5 linked regions of the Canis lupus familiaris genome follow. The protein of the gene in region 1 interacts with the protein of each later gene in a pairwise test. Links are inferred from orthologs where the notes say so. Each region holds a gene or a part of one and is shown in the gene's direction. Other genes may lie near its edges. The genes, in order: TASOR2, CARD9, NEK6, LDOC1 and ERH.

Region 1 (4,205 bases):
CCTTCATAATAGCCCCCTCTCAGGAGACTGAACTAACATCCTGGGAATGCAAGTAGGCTGCTGTCGAGGGTCAGCTTTCTGCTGTTTGCAGACAGAGTAGAGAGGAAATGTTTTCAGTACAGAATTTAAAGTTTTAGAAGGTGATGAAATTGGTGATTCTAAATGAATAATCCTATGACTTCTGATTTTTTATTTGTATCGTTACATATTCTAATGAAATACCAATATGGTTAAGAGTTGTCTGTAGCTTGAACTTAGGTGATTTCTCTAACAGAGCACTTAAGGGATGTGCTTTGTAAAAGTGTGTTAACATAATATAATATACACTTCAAACTTAGAAATCCTTCTATTCGCACTAGATTGTAAGCTCTATGAGGGCAGGAGTCCGGGTCTTTTTTTTTTTTTTTTTCCTCTTTGTTTCTTTAGCTGAGCAGTATACTTTGTGTATAGTTACATACATGCATTTTTGAAAGATGATTTCTTTTTAAATCAATATGCATGCTCTTTAAGATTTGTTCCTGTGGTATAAATACATTATATTAGAACTGGCAGTTGGAAGAAACCTATCTGATAGGAATATTTCAACATATAATCTGTGTAACCTGTCCAGAGGTTCTTCTTGAATATAGTGACTTAACCATTAATTTTCAATAAGCCATAGTGTACTATAGCAGAGAATTAAAATATACGGAAATCAAATGTTACATGTCCTCCTTTTCTTTTATACTGAAGCAAAAGGAGAAACTGGTTCACAACTGCCATCAGAAATCTCATCAGTTGGACAAGAAGATGTTACTAGCATAAATGCCACTCAGACGGAAGGAATCTCAGTGGCTCAAAAAGACCTCCCTGAAAACTCTATTGTTAACTGTGACTCCCAAGCCCTAAATATGCTAGCTGACCTAGCCTTAAGTGCTGCTACTTCTACCACGCCGTCATCGGAGCCCAGGAACTTTCCCTGCTCCTCTGAATCACCACAGAATGATGTTCTGCTTTCTAAAGAACATTCTGTGCGTGGTACGTCTGACCATGAATATCACAGAGGTGTTAAGAATCAAAAAGGTGGACTGTTAACTAAGCCTTCCTCTGAGAAAAAGAGTAATCCAACATTGGATTCCACCATCAGCCAAATGGAAGAGACTTGGGTTCCTGGTGATCCGCCCCCTATGGAAGCCCCATCAGCACTTCCTGAGGAAACCCTAGAGACTAGTGATGCAAGCCAAAGCTCTTTTGTTGCTGTGGAACATTCCTACGCCCTGCTCCTTGCAGAACATTCAAAGAAGCATCTACAGCAGAGGGGAATCACAGGCCCTGCCTTCGCCAAGAATGGCACAAAAGGCCCTGAAGCAGGGACCCCGGTGGGAAAGGTAATGCCATTCCGGCACCAGCACAGCACCTCCCCTCTGCAGAAGCTGTCTGAGGACCCGGGGTGCAGGCGCAAGGGTAGTTTGCTGTCCTCCAGCCTGAAAGATTCTTACTGCTCTCATACTGTTTATAGCTGTGATGGCTCCTTTAAGGTCACTTTCAAATGTGACTCAGAATATGCATTCAGCTTAGACAGCAAATACACCAACAACCCCCTGGAGAAAACCATAATAAGAGCACTACATGGGTAAGTAAGAGTGATGCTCAAGGTAGATGGATGTGACTTTTGTGCTGATAAATGTGGTGGGAAGGAGTATTTGCACTAGACTTTGGGGAAAGAGAAGTACTGTGTGTGAATCCAGTAACTTAGTGATATTATCAAGCAGTCATGTTTACTGACAACTAAGAAAATGAGGCTGGTTTTGCCACTGTTGGTGGTCCCACAGAGACCTTTTGCAGGCTGACTTTAGCCTAGTGAACAGCTTTCTATTTTGAGATACTCCTATGAAAGCCTTTATGGTCTTTGAATTATAATATTTAAATGAGATCTTAATAGTGCAGATTTTAACTCAGGTCTCTTTGAGACAGGCCCTGAGAGTGTACATTTCTAACAAGTTTCCAAGTGATGCCAATGGAGGATGACAGTCTGTAGGCAATGCTTTTTAGATTTGATTTACTCATGAGATTCAGAGGCAGAGATACAGAGGGAGAAGCAGGTTACCCACAGGGAGTCCGATACAGGACTCGATCTCAGGACCCCAGGATCACAACTTGAGCTGAAGGCCGACGCTCAGCCACTGAACCATCCAGGTCCCCTGGCCAGTGCTTTTAAGTATGAGTTTAGTAATAGCTACAAGTCAGGGTGTTGTGTATGTGAGGGTTTTGCACAGTGACTGGCACAAACTGGTAAGCAGTAGCCGTTATTATTTGCAAGGAGCACTAGCTATGTGAAAAGGCACTCAGCTGCCTCTTCACGGAGTGTCTTACCTAGGAGCAACTAAACTGTATTAGACTTCTTCCCATGCTCTGGTCACAAGCTCAGGCCCATAGGAGTGTACACTAAGTGTTCCCATCTACTCAAGAGGGTCATGTCCTGAGCCTTAATCCTGCCTGGCTGTATGGTTTCAGGAGATTTTTCAGGACTGTAATCTGAATTAAGGTATTTTAACCTTAAGACTTTCCCAACTATTAGAAGAGAAACACACACACAAAAAAAAGAAACACAAAAATGGAAAAGAAATGAGTTGGCCAAACCTGGCAAATATGAGGATTTGGGTGTTTGCTGGAGCCATTATTCACATAATAGGCATATTGTGTCCAGAGAGAGTTAGAGTAATAGAAAAATCCTAGCCCAGGAGGCCAGAGACCTCTGTTGCAGTCTTGGTTCTGCTGCGTCAGGGGTCTACGATCTGAAGGAAGTCACTTTTCAAAGCTCTTGAGTTTCAGTTCCCTTTCTTGCCTCTATAAAATGAGTGGATTAGATTCATTGTAATTACTTTTTTTGTTGTTTTTTTGGTTTTTTTTTTTTTTTTGTAATTCCTTGTTAAATGAACTTCATTTTTATCTTATTCATCATTTCATGTTCATGTATTTTTACTATAAAAATGAACACATTTAAAAAAAAATGAACACATTTAAAACTAAGATTAAAATGCAGGCACTTAATCAACTAAAATCACCATTTTCAGGATTTTTTTTGCATGTTTTTTCTTTAAAATCTCAGGCCCTGGAACACTGACTTACCTGATAACGTGGAAGAAGTGAAGCTTTTGCTTCATATGTGGGTAGCTCTGTTTTACAGCAATCAGAACAAAGTCATACGGTCATCCCGAAAAGTGGTAGAACACAGCAACCCAGCAAAATATGTGTCTATAAATAGCACATTAGAATCATTAGAATTCAGTGAAATCGAGGAGTCCTCCAATGTGGAAAGATGTCCTGTGGACCCTCTGTTGGAGACCAACGAAACTCCCAGAGGTCACGCTGCCGAGGTGTCCTTCCCTGACACCAACTCCTTGCTTCCCTTCCTTAAACCTCCACCCACAAGAGGCTTGGAACTCTGGGTACAGAAGGAACGGAAAGACATTTTTCCAAGAGAGGGTCATCCAGATACCCCAGAAAGCCAGAATTTCATTTATTCTTGTAAAAATGAGGTAAGTAAAGCTGAGTATATGCTGACATTTGTGAAGATTTTTTTTTTCTAGATATGTAAAATCACATTCAAAACATATCATTGGTTTGTTTTAGGAAGGTGGATTCCCTGTCTATGTAAAGGACTAATAATACCAAAAACTGTTTCCGTAAGTGTCACTGTGGATTGTCTGCAGGTGGAGCTTTTCTCCATCCCTGATTGAAGTAGTAGTAGTAGAAAGAGAAGGTGGGTGTCAGATGGGTCTGAGAGCCAACCATAATGGTGTCACTTACTGTATAATTTGGGGCAAATTACTTGTTCTCTCTGAGCATACTCTCTTCTAAAAGAGGTATGTAATACCTGTTCTTATTTAGAATAGGTGTTGTTTTTTTTTGTTGTTGTTGTTTTTTTAATTTATTAGAGAGCACGAGCAGGCCTGGGGAAGCAACAGAAAGAGAGGGAGGAGCAGACTCCCCAGTGAGCAGGGAGCCCGACACGGGGCCTGACACGAGGCTCGGCTCGATCCCAGGACCCCGGGATCATGACCTGAGCTGAAGGCAGATGCTTCACCAACTGTGCCACCCCGGTGGCCTAGAATAGTTTTTAAGGCTCATATGCAGTAATAAATATTAGAAATCTTTAATAAACCTTAAACTGAAATTGAATATATTCAAAATTATTTGTGAAAACAAAAGCAGGAACAGTAAGT
Region 2 (4,698 bases), on another chromosome or scaffold:
ATGCCCGGAAGCGGCAACGGCTGGTGTGAGCAGCAGGGTAAGCAGGGGCAGGGGTGGGTGCAGGTACCCCTATACCATGGGCCTTCCCCGTGCCTCTGTTCTGGGCACACAGGAGCCCACAGCTTTCCAGATGTGGGGCAGACTATCATCGCCCTTAGGAGCTCACATCAAGTGTGATGGGGAGGGTTATACAGGCCTATGGGAGCCGTTTGTGGGGAGGGCCATGTAATCCCTCTCCCCTAGCTACACCCTCGCCCACTGGGTTGCACACTCCAGGCTCTGGTGCTTCCTTCTTGCTGACCCACGTGTGCCTCGGGGCCTTTGCACTGCTGTCCCCTCTGCCTGGCCTTCGTCCATGTCTGTAAGGCTTGTTCCCTTATCCCAATCATGTCTGCTCAGTGTTTGGCTGTTCAGAGATGCTCTCTCTGCCTGTTCTCTTGGGGCAGTACCACTGTCAATGTCTGTCTTGCTAGCACTGTCTCTTCTACACCCGACATGGTTTACATGCGTGTCTGCCATAAACGTGAGCCCTTAAGGGCGGTGATATGATTTGGTTTTTGCTGCCGGGTCCTCAGTGCCCAGAGAGCAGGCATCAAGTAGGCCCTCAGTACGGATTAGTTGAGTTCATGGTGCAGAGATCCCATGTGGGGGAAGATGTCTGGTCTACAGAGGTGGGAGCCAGCTCCTGCGAGTGTAGTGGGGCTGCGCCCTGAGAGGGTCCACAGAGGGGATGCTGGGGGTGGGGGTGGGGGCATCAGAAGCCCACCCAGGCTCTAGGGCCTGCCCTCAGCATGGCCCCCTGCATGGACTGCAGGTGGGCAGCCAGACCCGGTTCTGCGCCCTCGGAGGAGGCCTAATGCCACCTTTGGTTCCTATCCTACAGCACCATCTCTGGGGTCTGGCTGGGGTCAGGGTGTCCCCACCATCTGGGCATCTCTGTGTTCCAGGAGGCGGGAGCCATGCTGGACCCCAGTGAGCCCACCTGCCTGTGGAGCCCAGCTCCAACCCTCCCGGAGGAAGCAGCCTAAAGCAGTTGGAGGCTGGGGGAGGCTTCGCCGTGTGACCGTGAAGCCACTGGGGCTTGGCTAGTCCTCCAGCACAAATCGGAAGGAATGTTTGAAGGAATAAAGTGAATGGCTTATTTTTTTATTAAAAGGCAAGCCCCAGATTCTTGTTGCCTTAAGAGACTGGGCAGAGGGTTGGGGCTCCCCTGACCGTGCCAGGACCCGGATGGCTGGGCCCTGAGGTCTGAGGAACCCCCTGAGCTCCGGGCCACCGTGTAGGACGTGGGGAGTGCCCTTTGCACAGAACACGCTTGTGGCTCAAGCCCCAGGGCCTGCCAAGAGCTACCAGGCAGCTGCTGCCTTGGTGGGGCCACAGGGAATGGGGTGGACCTGCCTCACTGCCTTCCTGACCACACCGCCGACCCAGGCAGGCATCTGGAACCAGCGGCTGCCCGCCTGCCCACAAGTCACGCAGCGGCCCCAGGCCGGCATTGCCTTCCTCCTGAGCAGCTGCTTCTTGGTGGGAGGCCAAGCCCCAGCACCCTTGGTGCTCTGAGGGACGCGGTGCACAGCCTTGGCTTTGGTGTGCAGCCTTTTGAGGTGCTTGGTTCTAGAGGCTTCATGCCTGTGCTCTCCAGGTGTGAGCATGCCCTGGGGTGCTGTACCCACCCACCAGGGGGCTGACCCACCACCGTGCAGCCTCATGCACAAGCTCTTAGCTTTTCAGTTTGCACCTGGGGCTTTTTCAGCTCGTTTCTGCTTTCCTTGGGGGCTCCTTTAGACCTATGGCTAGTTAGAGGTCTCTTATTTTATTTTCAAACGTTTAGGGATTCTCCAGTTAGCCTTTTGTTATTGATTTCTGGCTTTTGATACAGAGAACAGAACATTTCTGTCATTGAATTCTTACCAACACCCCCGTGGGGGAGACACCCTTTATTAATTTGCTTTTGCAGAGCAGGGAAACACTGCTGGTCATAGCTCCTGGAGGGCCCAGGACTGGCTGTTCTGGAAGCGCGATGGCAGCCTCCATCCACCCAGGGTCAGAGGTCCGAGAGCCTACAGGCGGGGAGCCTGTCAGGCAAGAGGCAGCTGCCATGGGAAGGTGGGGCTGGGAGCCCTGCTCAGGACCATCCTGGCCTTTCCCTAGCAATTGCCTCAGCCTGGCAGCCAACAACTTGGACCAACCGGCCCAGCTGCGCCAGTGAGGCCTTGGCCTGGGGGTTTCCTGGCAGACCCTGGTCTGGAGGCCTGCTATCCTGGCTATTGGGTGCAGCTCTGATGGCAGAAACAGCCCTTCTGAAACTGGTTTGCGGGGCCATGATGAGTGGCCTGGGAGCCTGCTGTCACAGTCCCGAGTGTCCTAGTAAAGAGGTTGCTAAGTGGAGACACTCCCAGGAAGGGATAGGGTGTGCAGTGTAGCAGGGGCCGGTGGCCATGTGGGGCAAGCACGGACAGGCCACAGTGGGGTCTCCAGCCACATGCCTTCTGGACGCTACACCAGCCCTCATGTGATCAAGGCCCGGCTGGCCTACTGTGTGTGTGGGCATCTGGCTGAAATCCCAGAGTTAGGCCTGAAGCCCTGGGATCTCCTGCACTTTGCAGAGGGCCCACGCTGCAGGTTCCCAGCCAGCCCCTGGTGGAGAAGCCTCCAGAAGCCTGCGTTCAGGCCAGAGCGGACTAGACAGTGCATTGGCCTCATCCAGCTCCGGGGAGGGTCCTTGCTCACACTTCCACTTAGTGGATGCCAGGGGTGGGCCTCCAGGCCTCTGAGCAGGACTTCCACTTCCCTCTGCCCCGCCTCTTGGGCCCTGCCAGGCGGGCGAATCAGAAGGCAGGCCCAAGGACCCACTCCCTCTGGGAGGACCTTCCCGGCTCTGTGGAGCTGAGCAGCACCATCAGGAAGTGCACAGCTTTTCCTCCTGAGCTCCACTGGGCTGCCAGCAGCACCTCCTGTTCATCGGATCAGGCCAGCCTGGGCTGACCAGTGTCCACTGCACAGGTGCCTCTCGAGGACCCTGAGGTAGGCTGGTTGGCTGCCCTCTCAGGGTGGCCAGGAAGACACCCATCTCTCTGCTCAGGGCTCCTGGGGCACATACCCCAGAAGAGCACCCAGGGCCTCCACTCCTGCCCTGTCCTTCACAGCCACCTGAGACCTGCTTGTTCAGCTCGGTGGAATTAGAGGCAGGGGTCAGGTGTGGGACCTGTGGATGTAGGTGGGAAAGGCAGGAAGCGGGCTGAACGTTCCAAGGGCCATCCACTGAGTTGCTGGTGTCTCTCTGGCTGGATGGTGTGGCCAAGGGCTGCAGGAAGTTCAGGAAGCTCCTCCAGAGGCCCTGCCTGCTGCCGTCTGTCTCTGGGAGTATGGCCTAGCTCCTCTGGGTGGCAAACCTCCGCCCACAGTTCCTACGCTGGCTGAGGGCAGTCTGAGGTGGCAAGTCAGGGTCTCTGTCCCCACCACTGGGAGGAGGCTCCTGGTTTGGCCCAGGCCTCGAGCGTGGTCTGTGCCCGCCAGTGGAAGGGAGCAGCAGTGGGTAGTCCCAACACGGATGGCCCTGGTCAGGGAGCTGGCACCCTGCGTGCCCAGGAACAGGGAGAGGAGCCCAGAGGTGGCTGGTGCCTGGTCCCTAGGAGTCTGCAGAGGGCACAGGAGCGGCGTGGGTGCTGGCCATGCCAATGCAGCTGGGCCCCTCCTGGTGCAGCGGTCCACAGCTGCCCTTCCTGAGCCAGCCGGTGCCTGGGCCACTGTTGCACCACCAGCCAGCCGCCGGAAAGAGAGGAGGCGGTGGGGCTAGGCCCTGAGCAGGAGCCATGTCCAAGAAGGAGGAAGTCCTACAGCAGCACAGGCTGGCGTGTACGTGGGCAGGTCAATGCCCCAGGCGTGCCTCCCCAGCCTGGGCGCCTACCTCCCTGTACCTGCCAGGGAGGCCCTGCCAGTGGGTACGAGGTGGTGGTCTGCCAGACTCACGCTTTAGGGATGGGGGTGCAGAGGCCAGAACAAGGCCACAGTGGGGGGGGGGGTATTCTCAGATGCCGCCAGTCCCTGAAGCGCCTCCACATCTTCCCTCACACTTATCAGGGTGACTTGGACAGAGAAAGCCTAGGTCACCTGCTGAGGGAGTGGCTGCAGGGTCTAGAGAAGGCCGGGAGGGCTGCCCTGGCTGAGCTGGTGCCCCGGTCAGAGCACCAGCGCAGAGGAGGGAGGGCCAGGGCGGGTGAGGCTTCACACCTACCTGTCCTGGACTCCCCTGGGCCCAGCATGCAACTGTCCCTGCCAGCTGCTCTCCCACCAATCGCAGCGGTGGCCGCCACCATGTCAGACTATGAGAACGAAGACCAGTGCTGGAGTACCCTGGAGAGCTTCCGAGTGAAGCTCATCTCCGTCATCGACCCCTCGCGCATCACGCCCTACCTGAGGCAATGCAAGGTGCTGAACCCCGATGATGAGGAGCAGGTGCTCAGTGACCCCAACCTGGTCATCCGCAAGCGGAAAGTGGGTCAGTGCTGCCTCAGCCGGGAGCTTTGAGCACAGGAATGGGCGCTCCCCAGCACCCCACACCCTGTCCTGTCTGCTGGGAGCCGTGGTGCTTCCATGCACAGCAGACACCCCTGGGAGGGCAAGGGTGCGTGGGCAGCAGGTAGATCTTGACCTGGGCTGGGCCTATAGGAGCTCAGTGCACAAGCCCAGCCAGCCCCA
Region 3 (4,693 bases), on another chromosome or scaffold:
ATATTTGCAATTGCTTCCCCACACACCCCACCCCCAGAATGAAGCACCAGGAGAGCCAGGGCTATATTTTGTTCACGACTGTATCCCAGCGCCTAGAATAGGACCTGACCCATAGCCGGTGCTCGTAGATAAGTGTCAGGTGATTGAATGAGGAAATTAATGTTTACTGCATTGATACGGTCCCTAATCATTGGCCTGCCAGCAACACTGCAACACACTGTCTCAGAACTTCTATTTATTTCTATCACTTTCTGAAACGCTTATTTCTTGGAGTTACCTCTTCAATCTATCTGATATCTGTTGTGATGCGTATCATGTGAAGTGAGACTGTAAGTAGGTCCCCGACCAAACCGCTAACCAACGTGTAGAATGACCTGTTCTGTCCCTGCTGGTTCACGGCAAGGCTGGGACTGGGCTGGGCCGTCTGTGCCAGCTGTCCCCCGTGCCCTCTTATACCAGCAGTCCAGAGCTATGTTGTTTATGAGGTGGGACTGCCGAGACTGGGCACTGGAGTTAGTCTGTGCTGTGGTCTAGCTCCCTGCTCAACCCTTACCAACTGGGTGACTTTGAGCAAGAGAACTGGGCTCTCTCAGCTTCTGTTCTAAACCTCATTTATCTTATCTGTAAAACGGGCATGAAAGTGGCATAACGCCTCCTTCGCAGAATGGCTGTGCGGTTGTGAGTATGACACCTGGCGGGGGTCCTACGGGTGTCGTTACTGTCACAGGTCGCAGCCAGGTGGAGCGCCGGGGGGTCCTCTGCGGGCTCGGCACGGTGCTGTCACTAAGCTGGACAGCCGGCAGGTGGTCAGTGTCAGTTCCTGGTTCCAGGCGTCCTGGGGGGACACCGCACGGTCCTGCCTGTGGAGGAGCAGCGGCCGATGCAGGAGGCGGGAGCTGAGCGAGCCGGCCCGGAGCCCTTCTTGGGGGAAGGGGGCGCGCAGGTTCCCTTAGGAGGCCAGCTGCAGCCTTCGGGGCCCCATGGAGACTCTGTCTCCTTAGAGAGGGTGTTACCCACTCAGTAGGGCCTTCTCCCGGAAACCTTTGCACCTCGACTCTCCCTATCTCGGGGTTCACAGGCATTGGGGAGCTCCATATAAGGAGACGCTGGCGCTTTGAGGGCAGGGGGCAGCACCTTCAGCAGGCGGAGATGCCCTTGGAGCTTCCTCCTAAACGTGCGCCGCATCCAGTAGGCGCGCAATAAGAGCTGATTGGCTACCCAGGGTGCGCAGGGCCGTGGAGGGGGCCGCGTCGGGGGGTACCCAGGGATGCGGGGGCGGGTCCCCGGTTCGCTGAGTGCGGACCCCAGCCCTGAGCGTCTAGAGCCCGGGGACTAGGGGTGAAGGGGGGTCTGCTGGCGCCGACTCGCCGGCAGGGTCTGGGCCTCAGTCTCCCCATCTTTGGAACGGGGAGGGGGCGCCTGGGCTGCGCGGACGTCTCGCGGCCCCGGGGGCTCCGGGCGCCTTGCGGTCTCCCCGGGGCGCCCACGGGCCAGCGTGGCGGCCGCGCGGGAGCGAGCGCAGGGGGCGGCGCGGGCCCGCGGCGGGGAGGGGCGGGAGCGCGCGGGCCCGCGGCGGGGAGGGGCGGGAGCGCGCGGGCCCGCGCAGGCGGCGGCGGAACCGGGCGGACGGGCGTGCGGCCGCGAGTGTGGGACCCTCCGCTCCGCCCCGCTCCGCCCCGCTCCGCTCCGGCCGCCCGCGCGCCGCTCCTCCGAGGCAGCCGAGCCGCCCGCGCGCCGGTGAGTGGCCTGGGGCCGGGCCGGGCCGGGCGGAACCGGGCCGGGCGGGGGCGGGGGCGCGCGCGTCGCGGGGGCCCGGCCGGTGGCGTGCGGGGCCGCGGGCGGGCTGGGGCGCGGCGGGGCTCCCGCGGGGCCGAGCGCTCGCGGGGCCCGTGCCGTGGGGATGGGGAGCCGTGCTCCAGGCTCCGGGCGTGCGTGTGTGCACGTGCGCGAGTGCTCACGAGTGACTTCTGGGCGCGTTTGGGAGCCTTTGAGGACAAAAGTGTACGTGTCCGTGCACGCGAACATGCACCCTGCGTCCGGGAGGGTGTGAATGCGTTTCTCACGCACGCGGGCGGGCACCTCCTTGCACCCACCAGGCGGCTCCCTCCCGGGTGCCAGGGAGCCCGCGGAGGGAACTAGGCCCGGGGTGGGCTCCCGGCGGGTGCGGGGCCTCGCGCGCCGAAGGGGGGCGGAGGTCAGACCCGCAGAGCCAGGCTGGGCCCCGCAGACGGGGAGGCCTCCTTGCCGGGCCTCGGTGGGGCCCCAGGATGCTCAGGCTGGGCTGCGGCTCTGCTGCGGCGGGCAGGGCTCCTCGGCCTGCTGCTAGAGGACGCGGCCTCAGTTCTTCCTGAACACCCCCCTCTGGGTCCCTTGGCTCCTCTTCTTCCGGTCTCTGGCCCGGGCAGATTTTCATCTTTCCCGCGGGCCTTGGGGGGTGGGGATGGGGGACGGTGACCCTGGGAAGGCCAGGGGTGCCAGGACACTTGTCTGTGTATCTGAGGGTCTCTCGCCCTGTCTCTGCCTGCTCTGTCGACTAGATGCGTATTCATCTGACTTATTTACTTGTTGAGCCTGGGCTCCAAGCATGAGCCCCCAAGACAGTAACAAATTGATCACAGCAGGCTTGGGACACTGATTTCCAAGGTCTGTCTGCGCAGCTTTGACACAGTTTTGGGGGGAGCTTTAGAAATGTTGAAAATCTCTGCAGTCAGAAGGCTTAATTGGGGATCCCTGGGTGGCTCAGCAGTTTGGCGCCTGCCTTTGGCCCAGGGCGCGATCCTGGAGTCCCGGGATCGAGTCCCGCGTCGGGCTCCCGGTGCATGGAGCCTGCTTCTCCCTCTGCCTGTGTCTCTGCCTCTCTCTCTCTGTGTCTCTCATATAAATAAATAAGTAAACAAACAAATAAACAAATCTTAAAAAAAAGTCTCGATTGCTTTAAGGGCAACTTCAGAAACACTGAACTCCCTCGTCCCCCTGAATTTTCAAAACTCAGCTAGACTTTCTGAGGAGAAAATGTCGTGCGCAGGCAGATCTTGGAGGCACATTTAAAAATCGTGGTGTTAATGGAAGAAGAATTTCATTGAAAGGGATGCAGAGCGGCTGGAGGCGCCTGTTCCCAACGCAGCAGCTTACTGAGTGAACTTTGGACGTCTTCTTTTAGCAAACAAAACCTGGAAGGAAACAAAAAAGATCCACATTCTTTTTCTTTTTTGTCCTAAAAAGAAATGAAAAAAACAAAACAAAACAAAACCCAACCCACCTTCTGGGTTTGCTGGAAAGGCTGCCTCTTCTTCTCCCCTCAAGGCCAGGCCCTCCCTCCATCCCCCACTCCCCAAATAAAATATGCCTGTGGGGAGCTGTGGATGAGTCACTCCCTGGCAGAGAGCCCCACGGGCAAACATTTGGGAAGGTTCTTGCCTAACTTCCCAGAAGAAAAGGCCCAGGATTTAAAATGGTCCCTGTGGTTTGTCAGCCTCTGCCGTCCTGTCTGCTTCGGAAATGACTAAAAGTAGTTTCTGTCTTCAGAAAATAAAGTCTCAGACTGAAGCAGTGGCCCAGGTTGGTCTGGGCTCTGAGCCATTTCAGATCATTCGGGTTTCAAGAATCGAAGCTCCTGGCTTTGCCAGGTGACGTTTCCAGTGGCTTTGAGCGAGGAGGGGGCAGGGGAAGGGCAGGGGAAGTCATGCTTACGGAGCACCTACTGTGTGCACTTTTAATCCTCCTAGTAGTTGTGGGCGCAGAGACACAGAGACCTGTGTCTCTGTCAACCCTGTGTCTTGGGACTGCTGAGAGGAGGTAGAGGCAGAATCCTGTCACCTCCCTGACTTCCAGTCTGCCCTCCACACCAGGGGCCTGATAACTTGTCTTCTGAAGGTGCACAGGCTGGGTGCTCGGTGCTTTCACACACATCTACTCATTTCATCTTCCCCATGAGGTTGGGGGTTGTCATCTCCATTTTACAGATGACCTAACTGAGGCTCAGAGAGATGGAATACGAGGCATAATTTTATGAAAGTAGCATCACAACTAATGGCCACCATTTGTTGAGGGCATCCCATATGCCAGGCACGAAAGCTGTAAGTACCTAAATTCACCCAGTCCACCCGGCAGCACAGAGACAGAACTATCATGGTGCCCATTTTACAGATGAGAAAACTGGGGACACAGATGAAATCATGTGCCAAAGATCACAGGATGCTGTGCGGTTGAAGTCAGGCTTGTCTGAGCAGAGCCCTCCATCTTTCCATTGGACGTAGAAAGTAAAGGTCACTGTGTTCCAGGTTCTTGCGGGGCCAGGTTCCTCACCAGGCTCTGGGCTTCTGGGAGACGTCTTCCCAGAAGTGCTGCCCTCCTTCCTTGTCTACTCTTGCCCCTCGGCGGTGGATGACCCATGCCTAGGGCCAGGACTGTCAGATAGAAAGGGCTGCAGTTCACATTTTTTTCTGTCCTCATGAAGTGCCAAAGATTGGTTTCAGAAGGGAAGTGTCAAAACAATTGTCAAAAAGAGAAGAATATTCCCTTCCTCTTCTCGGGTCAGACCAAGCAAGGGAGTTAGAGGGTGAAGAGTGGAAGACCCTGGTGAGTCATCCAAGATTAAATGCGGGTTGGCATCTCCAGGCTTCTGTGGGGAGCAAAGAGGCTGGGGCGCTGCCCTCGGGAAGAGCCCCAGGCTTCTGACCCCAGGTGAGGGTGC
Region 4 (4,075 bases), on another chromosome or scaffold:
TAGTATGATAAATACTATGTAGGGAAATGAGGCAGGGTTAGGGATTAGAGATTACTGGTAGAGAGTGGGGTGCTCTGATAGATGAGGTGGTCAGGAAAGTCTTCTCTCAAACAGTGGGAGAAGGAGTCGGGCAGCTAACTGGGGAGAGTGCCTCGCAAGGCAGAGAAGACAGAAAATGCAAACATCCTGAGGCCAGAGCTACTTGATAATGTGGGGAGAATAAGCAAGAAGAATACTGTGATTAGAGCAGAACAGGAAATGGGAATAGGCACAGGAGATGAGGCAGGGCTTTGCAGGCCACAGCCAAGACTTTGCTTTTATTTTTATTTTTATTTTATTTTTATTTCAAGTGAGAGTGGAAAACTGTTGGGATGATTTTGAGCAGGGGAGTAAAAAGTTCTCACTTTTGTTCAAAAGGATTCCTGTGCCTACTCTCTGGAGAGAGTGGGCACTGAGAAATATGAGCCACTGCCCTGAGACATGAGTCACTCGTTCCCTGGCCATATCCACAGGGGAATCTGTTCCAAGATCCCCAGCAGATGCCTGAAACTGAGGATAGTCTTGAATTATATATAGACTATATTTTTTCCTATACGTACTTGATACAATTTAAATAAGTTAGGCACACTAAGACATTACTAGCTCATGTGATAAAATAGAATGTTTGTAACACATAACTATTATGCAAGTTTCAAAATATCTCTTAAAGTATCTTACTGTCCTGTACTCACCCTTCTTGTGATGACGTGAGATGATAGAATGCGTAGTGATCCGACGCCAGGCTACTGGTTGATCTTCTGGTGCCAGGTCAGAAGGAGGGTCAGCTGATTCCGGATCAAACCACCCTTGGCACGGGTGACTGAAAGCACCGGAGAGCAAAACCGTGGATCAGGAGGGACTCCTGTGTGTACTGCAGGAAGAGAAGAGTGAAAGCTAAGCAGTTGCAGCAGTCTGGGTGGGATAAGGAAGGCTGGATCAGGGTGGTATAGTGGGAGAAGTGACTGATCTGGGGATATATTTTAAAAGCAGAGCCAACAAAATTTCAGCTCTAGGGTCCTGGACTCAACGATTTAAATAATCCAGTTCAAAGTAGAAAGCCCAAAGCATTTAAAAACACAAGTGTTCATTGTTAAGCAACAAACAACATGCGACCGAGGGCCAAGGGGCATTAACAGGACATGAAACAGAGGGTCAAAGAGAGGCGAGAGCCTGCAAATCGTTCTCCAGTGGTGCTTTTGCAGAAGTTTTTATACTTGACTGTTTAGAAAAAAATACTTTTTAAAAAAGGATGTAGGTATACAATATTGTTTCCCAACTAAAGAAAAAAAAACCCCATTTAGATATTGTTTTGTTTTCAAAGAGGAGCCCCAAGGAAGGGTCTTTCGCAACTCCGAAAGGATGCGTGGCTCCCGCGGGGCAGGCCGCAGCGCCAGCAGTTCCCTGGGTGAGTGGGATTTCAATAAGCGAGGACGTGTGTCACCGAAACGCGCAGGTGGAATCTCGTAGCCACAGACCCACCAAGGAGCCCCGCACTGTGTGAGTCGGCTGAGTCCGAGCGTGACCGATCCTTTAAAGTTGAGCAGGTTGGCCCTCTCTGAGCTGGCTTTTGGCGGTCCCGGGGCGCACATCCGGGGCTCTAGCGCGGGAGCCTGCCCTTCCCGGGCGCCGGCCTCGGGAACTCCGGCCGCGGGCCCCCGGCTCCCGCCCGCCCCCTCCCTTGGACCGAGCCCCCGGCCCCGCCCCCGGCCCGCCGGCCCCGCCCCGGCCCCGCCCCCTCGCGGCGCCGGCAGCGCCCTGACCACGCCCCCCGACCCGGGCCGCGCCGGCGCGCCGGCCGCCCGAGTGGCTGTGCGGGCGGAGCTTGCGCAGCAGCCGGACCCCAGCGCGCACCGCCCTCCGCCCCTGGCCACCGTGCGCCTCGGCGGACACGCACTTCCTGCGAGGCCTCCGTGCGCACCTGAGCCGAGCCCAGCCCTGCGCTTGCAAGCCGTTCGCCATGGTGGACGAGCTGGTGCTGCTGCTGCACGCGCTCCTGATGCGGCACCGCGCCCTGAGCATCGAGAACAGCCAGCTCATGGAACAGCTGCGGCTGCTGGTGTGCGAGAGGGCCACCCTGCTGCGCCAGGTACGTCCGCCGAGCTGCCCGGTGCCCTTCCCCGAAACGTTTAGCGGCGAGAGCTCCCGGCTCCCCGAGTTTATCGTGCAGACGGCGTCTTACATGCTCGTCAACGAGAACCGATTCTGCAACGACGCCATGAAGGTGGCATTCCTAATCAGCCTGCTCACCGGGGAAGCCGAGGAGTGGGTGGTGCCCTACATTGAGATGGATAGCCCCATCCTAGGTGATTACCGGGCCTTCCTCGATGAGATGAAACAGTGTTTTGGCTGGGATGACGACGAAGAAGACGACGACGACGACGACGAGGAAGATGATTACTAGGCCGGGAGACCCTCGGGCCCAGGGGGGAGGGCCCTGCACGCCGCCATCCTCTCCCCCGCCTCTCCTGCCCGGCCCGGAGCCGCCCAGCGCCCTTCCGCCCTCCCATCCCCTTCCCTACCCCCAGCTCTCCGGTTCTCTCCGTCATCCCCCTGTAGTGCTTGCCTTTGTTCCGGTTACCTGCTGCTGGGGCCTCGCTCGGAAGCGCGCCGCCACCCACTCTGGCCAGCCCCGGGGCCCTCCCCTGCTGATTTGGACTGTGTCCTGAGCCCCAGCTATAGGGCAGGCCCCTGTTACAAACTGGTCAGACCACGCACAGCCCTGCCCTGCCGACTGCAAGGCCTCCATCTGCCCAGAGACCTACGCTGCCACTTCACCACCGTCCACCACATTCCAGCGACAGAACACAGCCTTTGAAAATAAGGACCAACCTAGAAGATGCCTGAGTTGGCTCTATGTCCTTGGACATTGATTTGGACAGCTCACCAGCCCCTGAAGGGGCCAGTCTTTCAACCTGGTTAGTTCCCTGCCTACTCCCAGGGTCCTCCCCTTCCCCACCAGATTGCTGCAGGGGCCTAGTGCGCCTGGCAGCCAAATTGTTGACATTTCTTTTCTCCTATGCACCAGTTTTGCACAGCTGTCCTTTTTCTTTCCAAACTGCAGCAGTCCCAACAGATGTGTGCATTTGGACAGAAATACTAAAAACAAAACAAACAAACAAAAACAGGCACTCAGCCCAGCTCCTCAATACCACCTGGAAAAAAGCATTTACGTTCTTTTCAATAAATATCAAGCACTACAAAAATAAAGAAAGGAGTGTCTTTTAATGGTTAAGTGCTATCATTGGCCTCTTCCAATCTCACTCTGACTCCCGTTATGCCCCCTGAGGTCAGGGAACTTAGTTCAGTCCCAGTATTCGCCACTGTCATCTCTAGGCTACAGAGGACAACTACCACAGGGTTTTCTAGGAATTCTGGTACTCTCCTCACCAAGGCATTTCTTAAAGCCCTGGCAAAAGGAGTGAGTGTCCTCTGGGGCCTCCAGGGTGGCATGGGTAAGGGGTGGCTGAGCAGGTGGCACACCATCCCAAACTGGGACACTTGAGAGTTAAAGGGGGACACTGTTAATAATTAGACTAGGACAACAGGCATAAATCTGGACACATACAATGTTATTATCTTCTTGAGCCTTTGGATTCCTTACTCAACACTGCCAGAGAAATTCTGTCCCTTAAGTCTTGTTGCCCGCGGGGCGCTGTTGAGTTCAGACTTCAGTTAACTACGTAGCATATTGTTTTAATGCCCCTTTCAGGTGCTTGAACTGACATTAAGCCCTGGATCCTGTGTGAGTGAACCCATACTAAATAGAGCGTGATCTTAACATTTCAGCACCCCGGGTGCACTGTCTTAGAATCCCCACCCATACATATGTCCCAGATTCCTGCCTATGGAAATTGGAGACTGACTGTCTCCTGAACTAGACCTTGTACTGCTATCTGGGCTATGCTGAGACCTCTTTGTGGGCCTGGAGGGCTCCGAGGCATTCAGGGAGTGGGGTGGGGGTGCTGAGAAGAACTCTTTGAAATGTGAAATCAGATAAATTCGGTAGTGGGTTTTGTGGAAGCTGCCTCTGCCACGG
Region 5 (4,952 bases), on another chromosome or scaffold:
TCTCTCTCATGAATATATAAATAAAATCTTTTTAAAAATCTATTTTTCTCATCTTCATTCTAACACAAAAAAATTCAAAACGCCGGAAAACTTTTGGATTCTAATCCAAAAGACTACCTTCCCCCCCACAAAAACTATGCTTTATTTTCTCCAAATGAGGAGTAATACTGATTTCTACGTATATGGACAAATAATAGTCTCCATTTACATTTCTTGAGAGCAACTGGAACCTTGATTCCTTGGAATCCCTGGGAATCAAAAGAACGTTATGGTGCTTCTTTCCAGGAAAATACACAGAGCCCTAAATTTTTGTATGCAATTTCACAAGATTCAGAGTACCCCAGGATCTCCAGGGGGTCTGCCCACCCCACGTTAAGGACTCCGATGCTTAAAATAAGGTTCCTTTCTATTATGAAATTCTATGTATCTTTTTTATTTTTTTAAAGATTTTATTTATTTATTCATGAGAGACACACAGAGAGAGAGAGGCAGAGACACAGGCAGAGGGAGAAGCAGGCTCCATGCAAGGCGCCCCATGCAGGACTCGATCCCGGGGCCCCAGGATCCTGCCCTGGGCCAAAGGCAGGTGCTAAACCGCTGAGCCACCCGGGGATCCCCTCTATGTATCTTGTTAGAAGACAGTCTTTCTTAGTAAGACCTTTAGCTCTGAGATACGTTGGGGAAGCAGCTTCCCTTTCTTTACAACTTTCCCTACTTCCTACCAGCCATCCTGAAAGCTGACAGAAAATTGAGAATTTCTTACCTCAGAGAAATTAACAGCCAAGGGAACGATTCCAGCCACGTAACATCCCACCAACATAGCCAGAGAGAGCAGACTAATGGAGATGAAATCATCCATTCTGTCCTCCTTTATTTGCCCACCGCCACCAGAACTGCAAATTTTCAGGGGCCTCAAAGGGTCCTTAGGTTCTTAAACGCGTATAGTGATTCCAACAGAACAAGGGGACTTTCCAGGTCGTCCGTCCTCCCCACTAGATGTGTTCAGAAACCCCTTTCTCTGGAACGCGCCTGGAACTAGCCCCTTTTTGCTGATATTAGCACCAGAGAGAACTTTCATCAATCTCAGGTCCCGGCCCCTGCGTTTTCAGATGCCAGTCACTGGATTCCCTGGGGTTTACGGTTAAAGGTATGCAAAAGAGCGATTTCTTCAATCGTCGGAGGGGTGGCACAATGGGCCCACTTCCTCCACGGACAACGTCCCAGATGGCAGCAAGAAAAAGGAAAACTCGAGCAGACTTGTTCGTTCTCCCGGCGCCCCTACGTCCCCGGGGCAGTCTTCCCCCAGGCTGGGACCAGCCCACCAGTCCCGGCAAACTCTCCTCCGAGTCTAGAACGGGCAAAGAGTCCCGCAGGTCTCTAACGATGGGCTTAGGGGTTCAGCAGGGAAGCTGATACAAAGCTGTCTCTGCCCTATACCCGGTGCTGCCCATATTACTCCACTCCGCTGGGCCTCGACCCGGAGCCACCGATACTACAGCTGCCATGGCCGCCAAGTGGCACCTCTTCATTACATCCACTTCCGGATTGCTTCACCGCCCCCTCCTTTAGAAGAGTACTTCCGGGTTACAACCGACCTATGGCCCGGGATTCTTAGGCTACCGCCATTTTTGAGTAGGGCTAATTAAAGAGGTCTGGTGTCAGAGTCCATATATATCTGTGTTCACTCTAGTCGTGCGTCTAATGGCGAGAATATGGAAGACCGTGTCTCGAGAAGAAACGATTTTTTTTTTTGAGAAGAAACGATTATTTTTCCAGTTCTGGAGCAATTACCTGTATCTAGCTCCTCGCCCTTATCCAAGATGGCTGAGCCAGAGTCGGTATCCGCTCTAGCTGCCGGAAATGTGTTCGCTTCTATGGTCCAAAAGGCTCTTTCGCGGTGCGTTTCTGACGACTTCCGGCGGCTCCTCTCGCGGGGATTGGCTGTTGGCGGCGTTGCGGCTAAGCTCGTGTGCGGCGGCGGTGTCGGCAGCGGCTGCGGCGAGAGAGTTTGGCGCGATGGTGAGAAAGGCCTCGGCGGCTCCCCGATCCCCCGGCCTCTGAGGCGATCCCAGCCGTGTACATCTTGTCCCCAGCCCATCCAGCGCGAGAGTGCAGCTCCCCGGCCCGCCAGCTTGTGGCGCGACCTCTCCCCTTCCCGCCGCGGGGCCGCGGGGCCGCTGGGCCTGGCGCTAGGCCCCGGAGCCCGGGTCCGCCCGGGTCCGCCCGGGTCCGCCCAGGTCCGCCCTGCGTTTGCGCGCCCGCGGCCGAGGTCCGGCGAGGCGTGCGGTGCGGAGGATGCGCTTCCTCCCGCGAGCTGCGTGGGGATGCTGCGCTTTTCCCCCAGAGTCTGGCCCGATGTGGGAACAATGGCCGAGGGATGTCTGACAAACCTGCGCCTGAAGCTGACAGATGGGGTGTGCTGCGCCCAGCGTGTGGGCCGGGAGGGGTCGTCTTTGCTTTGTAGCGTGCTTTCTCAGGCATCCCCTTTTGTTTTGCTGGGCTCCGTCCTCAAACAGACATACAACGTTTCTTTCCCCTCTTTTCCGAGACCCCAGAGGCCTGATCTGGCGTTTCTCCCGGCCCTCAATCCTGTTCTTACTCATTCTCTCTGGGACTCAAAGCTGAAAAGAAGATGGGCTCAGCTGAGGGTCCAGGTTCCTTAGAATCGGATCGGGGTGGTAGTGCAGTGAGTGGGTATTTTGTTCGTGTTTTTGTTTTTTTTTTTTTATTTCATTTTTATTTACTATTATTTTTTTTAATTCCGCCAAAAAGAAGGTGATCCACAGGGATTATGAGGAATCGTGGTTCTTCCGCACTTCAACCTCGGTTTTCTGATCGCTGGGGTTAAACGTTAACAGGTTACGCAGCTGTTGTTAACAAGGAACTCTCTGAGGTTGCACCTTTCTGAATTGAGGTGTTTTTAAGTGTTTGACCCAACGTGGTCTCCCAGAGGCGACTGAGCAATCGGAAGGCTGGGTCTCCAGTTCTTTCTTGTTTCGTCATAATTGGCAGTGTGACTTTTGGAAGACTCTGTATCTCTGAGTTTCCCTTCTTTCTCTGCCCTTTATGTCACTCTTTGGTAACGTGTTATAATGGTAAGATTCAAATCTGAGGAAGGGACAGCAGTTAATACCAACGGAGCCTTTCTGGGTGAGCAAATAGCAGTGATAATACCTTCTCAGTCCAAGTGGCTTTAAGAGCTACGAATTTGTAGATAAAGCAAACAATTATTGGTTCAGTCGTCGTATGTACTTCTGCTTTATTAAAGACAAGCTTCAAGGGGTGGGGATTTTTTGTGGGGTTTTTTGGTAGTTTGGCAGAAGCACCTGAAGCTAATGACCTAGTCCTGTGTATTGTAATATTTCTGTAGCAGTAGAAGGATGACTCAGTTCATGTGTAAGAATTTTAAGAGTAGGACCAGATTAACTATTCATTAAAGTGGTTTACATCTGCTTGGTAATCAGAATAAGGATTTTATTAAAGTATATCTGTGTACCTTTTCCTGACTTAGGTTTTGCAACCTTATTTTTCTGTTGTGAGAAGTATATATGTATTTGTTTACGTGTACTTGTATTTTGCATACATATTTGTTTTTTTTAATAAAACCAAACGGCTTTGGAAATAGCTCCAGTAAAAAGAAAGTGACCAAAACTGGTTTGGGAAGCTTTCTGGTCTTAAAATGTTAAAAGCAAAATACTGCCACTTAAAAATAATACCCATTTCAGCTACAGTTTTGTAAATTTAGTCATTTTTTTTCTTCGTTTTTAATCGTTGTCTTTGAGTACTAAGTATTGAAAATAGTGAGCTTTCTCAGAAGTTCACTTTAAGACTAGATGTAAAAAGTAGCGTATTGAATAGCCGTTTGCATATCATTACTTTTTTGAAGTAAATTAGTCCCTTAATTTTCATCAGAATGAGAACAAAATTAAATAGTAGTGACTGATACGACTACTGTGACTCCGTTATTGTGCTAAGGATAGAAAAAGAACATAGATCCACTACTTACAGTCATAAATAGTATTTCTCTTTTTCTCAGCCTACTTCTAAATTTTTATTAAAGCACTTAATAGGGGCACCTGGGTGGCTCAGTAGTTGAATGGCTGCCTTTGACTCAGGTTGTCAAAGTCCCACATCGGGCTCCCCACAGGGAGCCTGCTTCTCCCTCTGCCTATGTCTCTTTCTCTCTGTATGTCTCATGAACGAATAAATTTTTTTTTTTTTAAGGCACTTAATAGGGCTGGAGATAGAAAGTGACCAGTGGAGATAGAAAATCTAAGTGGGTTTATAATCTAGTTGGGAAGAAAGGAAGAAAAAACAGTAGAAGGTAACTCATGCTGAATGCTTAGAGGCAGTAAGTACAACAGTTGCAGAAAGCAGCCCTTAAGGACAGGGAGTCCGAAGAGACCTTACAGAGTTGTTCAGCCATCATCTGACACCACACTTGAACAAAAGCATAAATGTAAGAAGAGCACCCTGATTAATAGTGCATTAATAACCAATGATCATTTGTGTCATGACTAGAGATTTTATATCATACTATGAATTTCTCAAATATGAGTTAGAAACTTAAATTGAAATCCCTTTTCTCCCTGCAGTCTCACACCATTTTGCTGGTACAGCCTACCAAGAGGCCAGAAGGCAGAACTTACGCTGACTATGAATCTGTGAATGAATGCATGGAAGGTGAGTTTAAGCACTAATGAAGAGTTTTTATTTTTGTTTTCTTGATCTTCACTATTAGAATATGTCTCATTTAGGAACTAGGCTTGTTTTTCCTCCAGATTTCTCAAGTTATTAATTTGAGCCAGGAAGGAAGAAGATACTAGGGACCGTATTTGTTGAAAATTGAAACATTGATTATAGGTATTGTCCTTCTGCTGCAAGTATTTTTTTTTAAATCCAGCTCCCGTGATTACAGTGAATGGCCTTCTGAAGCCTCCCTCTGTGGATAT

What was found.
Region 2: the proteins of TASOR2 (region 1) and CARD9 interact in binary tests that used the Homo sapiens proteins (3 or more experiments, as listed by UniProt). The two-hybrid records come from large-scale screens. The link is inferred for Canis lupus familiaris from reciprocal best matches to the Homo sapiens genes TASOR2 and CARD9.
Region 3: the proteins of TASOR2 (region 1) and NEK6 interact in binary tests that used the Homo sapiens proteins (3 or more experiments, as listed by UniProt). The link is inferred for Canis lupus familiaris from reciprocal best matches to the Homo sapiens genes TASOR2 and NEK6.
Region 4: the proteins of TASOR2 (region 1) and LDOC1 interact in binary tests that used the Homo sapiens proteins (3 or more experiments, as listed by UniProt). The two-hybrid records come from large-scale screens. The link is inferred for Canis lupus familiaris from reciprocal best matches to the Homo sapiens genes TASOR2 and LDOC1.
Region 5: the proteins of TASOR2 (region 1) and ERH interact in binary tests that used the Homo sapiens proteins (3 or more experiments, as listed by UniProt). The two-hybrid records come from large-scale screens. The link is inferred for Canis lupus familiaris from reciprocal best matches to the Homo sapiens genes TASOR2 and ERH.

The regions. Positions count from the first base shown.
Region 1 is NC_049223.1:29,220,129-29,224,333, reverse strand, and holds part of TASOR2 (protein TASOR 2), read left to right. Parts: intron 1-732; coding exon 733-1,612; intron 1,613-3,088; coding exon 3,089-3,518; intron 3,519-4,205.
Region 2 is NC_049230.1:49,108,606-49,113,303, forward strand, and holds the start of CARD9 (caspase recruitment domain-containing protein 9), read left to right. Parts: upstream 1-1,564; 5' UTR 1,565-3,024; intron 3,025-4,259; 5' UTR 4,260-4,260; coding exon 4,261-4,498; intron 4,499-4,698. UniProt on the Homo sapiens protein: Adapter protein that plays a key role in innate immune response against fungi by forming signaling complexes downstream of C-type lectin receptors.
Region 3 is NC_049230.1:58,758,822-58,763,514, reverse strand, and holds the start of NEK6 (serine/threonine-protein kinase Nek6), read left to right. Parts: upstream 1-1,626; 5' UTR 1,627-1,737; intron 1,738-4,451; exon of another isoform or gene 4,452-4,683; intron 4,684-4,693. UniProt on the Homo sapiens protein: Protein kinase which plays an important role in mitotic cell cycle progression. Required for chromosome segregation at metaphase-anaphase transition, robust mitotic spindle formation and cytokinesis.
Region 4 is NC_049260.1:112,048,404-112,052,478, forward strand, and holds LDOC1 (protein LDOC1), read left to right. Parts: upstream 1-1,849; 5' UTR 1,850-1,996; coding exon 1,997-2,440; 3' UTR 2,441-3,264; downstream 3,265-4,075. UniProt on the Homo sapiens protein: May have an important role in the development and/or progression of some cancers.
Region 5 is NC_049229.1:43,500,531-43,505,482, reverse strand, and holds the start of ERH (enhancer of rudimentary homolog), read left to right. Parts: upstream 1-1,845; 5' UTR 1,846-1,860; coding exon 1,861-2,019; intron 2,020-4,595; coding exon 4,596-4,683; intron 4,684-4,952. Other genes in the region: SLC39A9 (zinc transporter ZIP9), read right to left, coding at 764-859. UniProt on the Homo sapiens protein: May have a role in the cell cycle.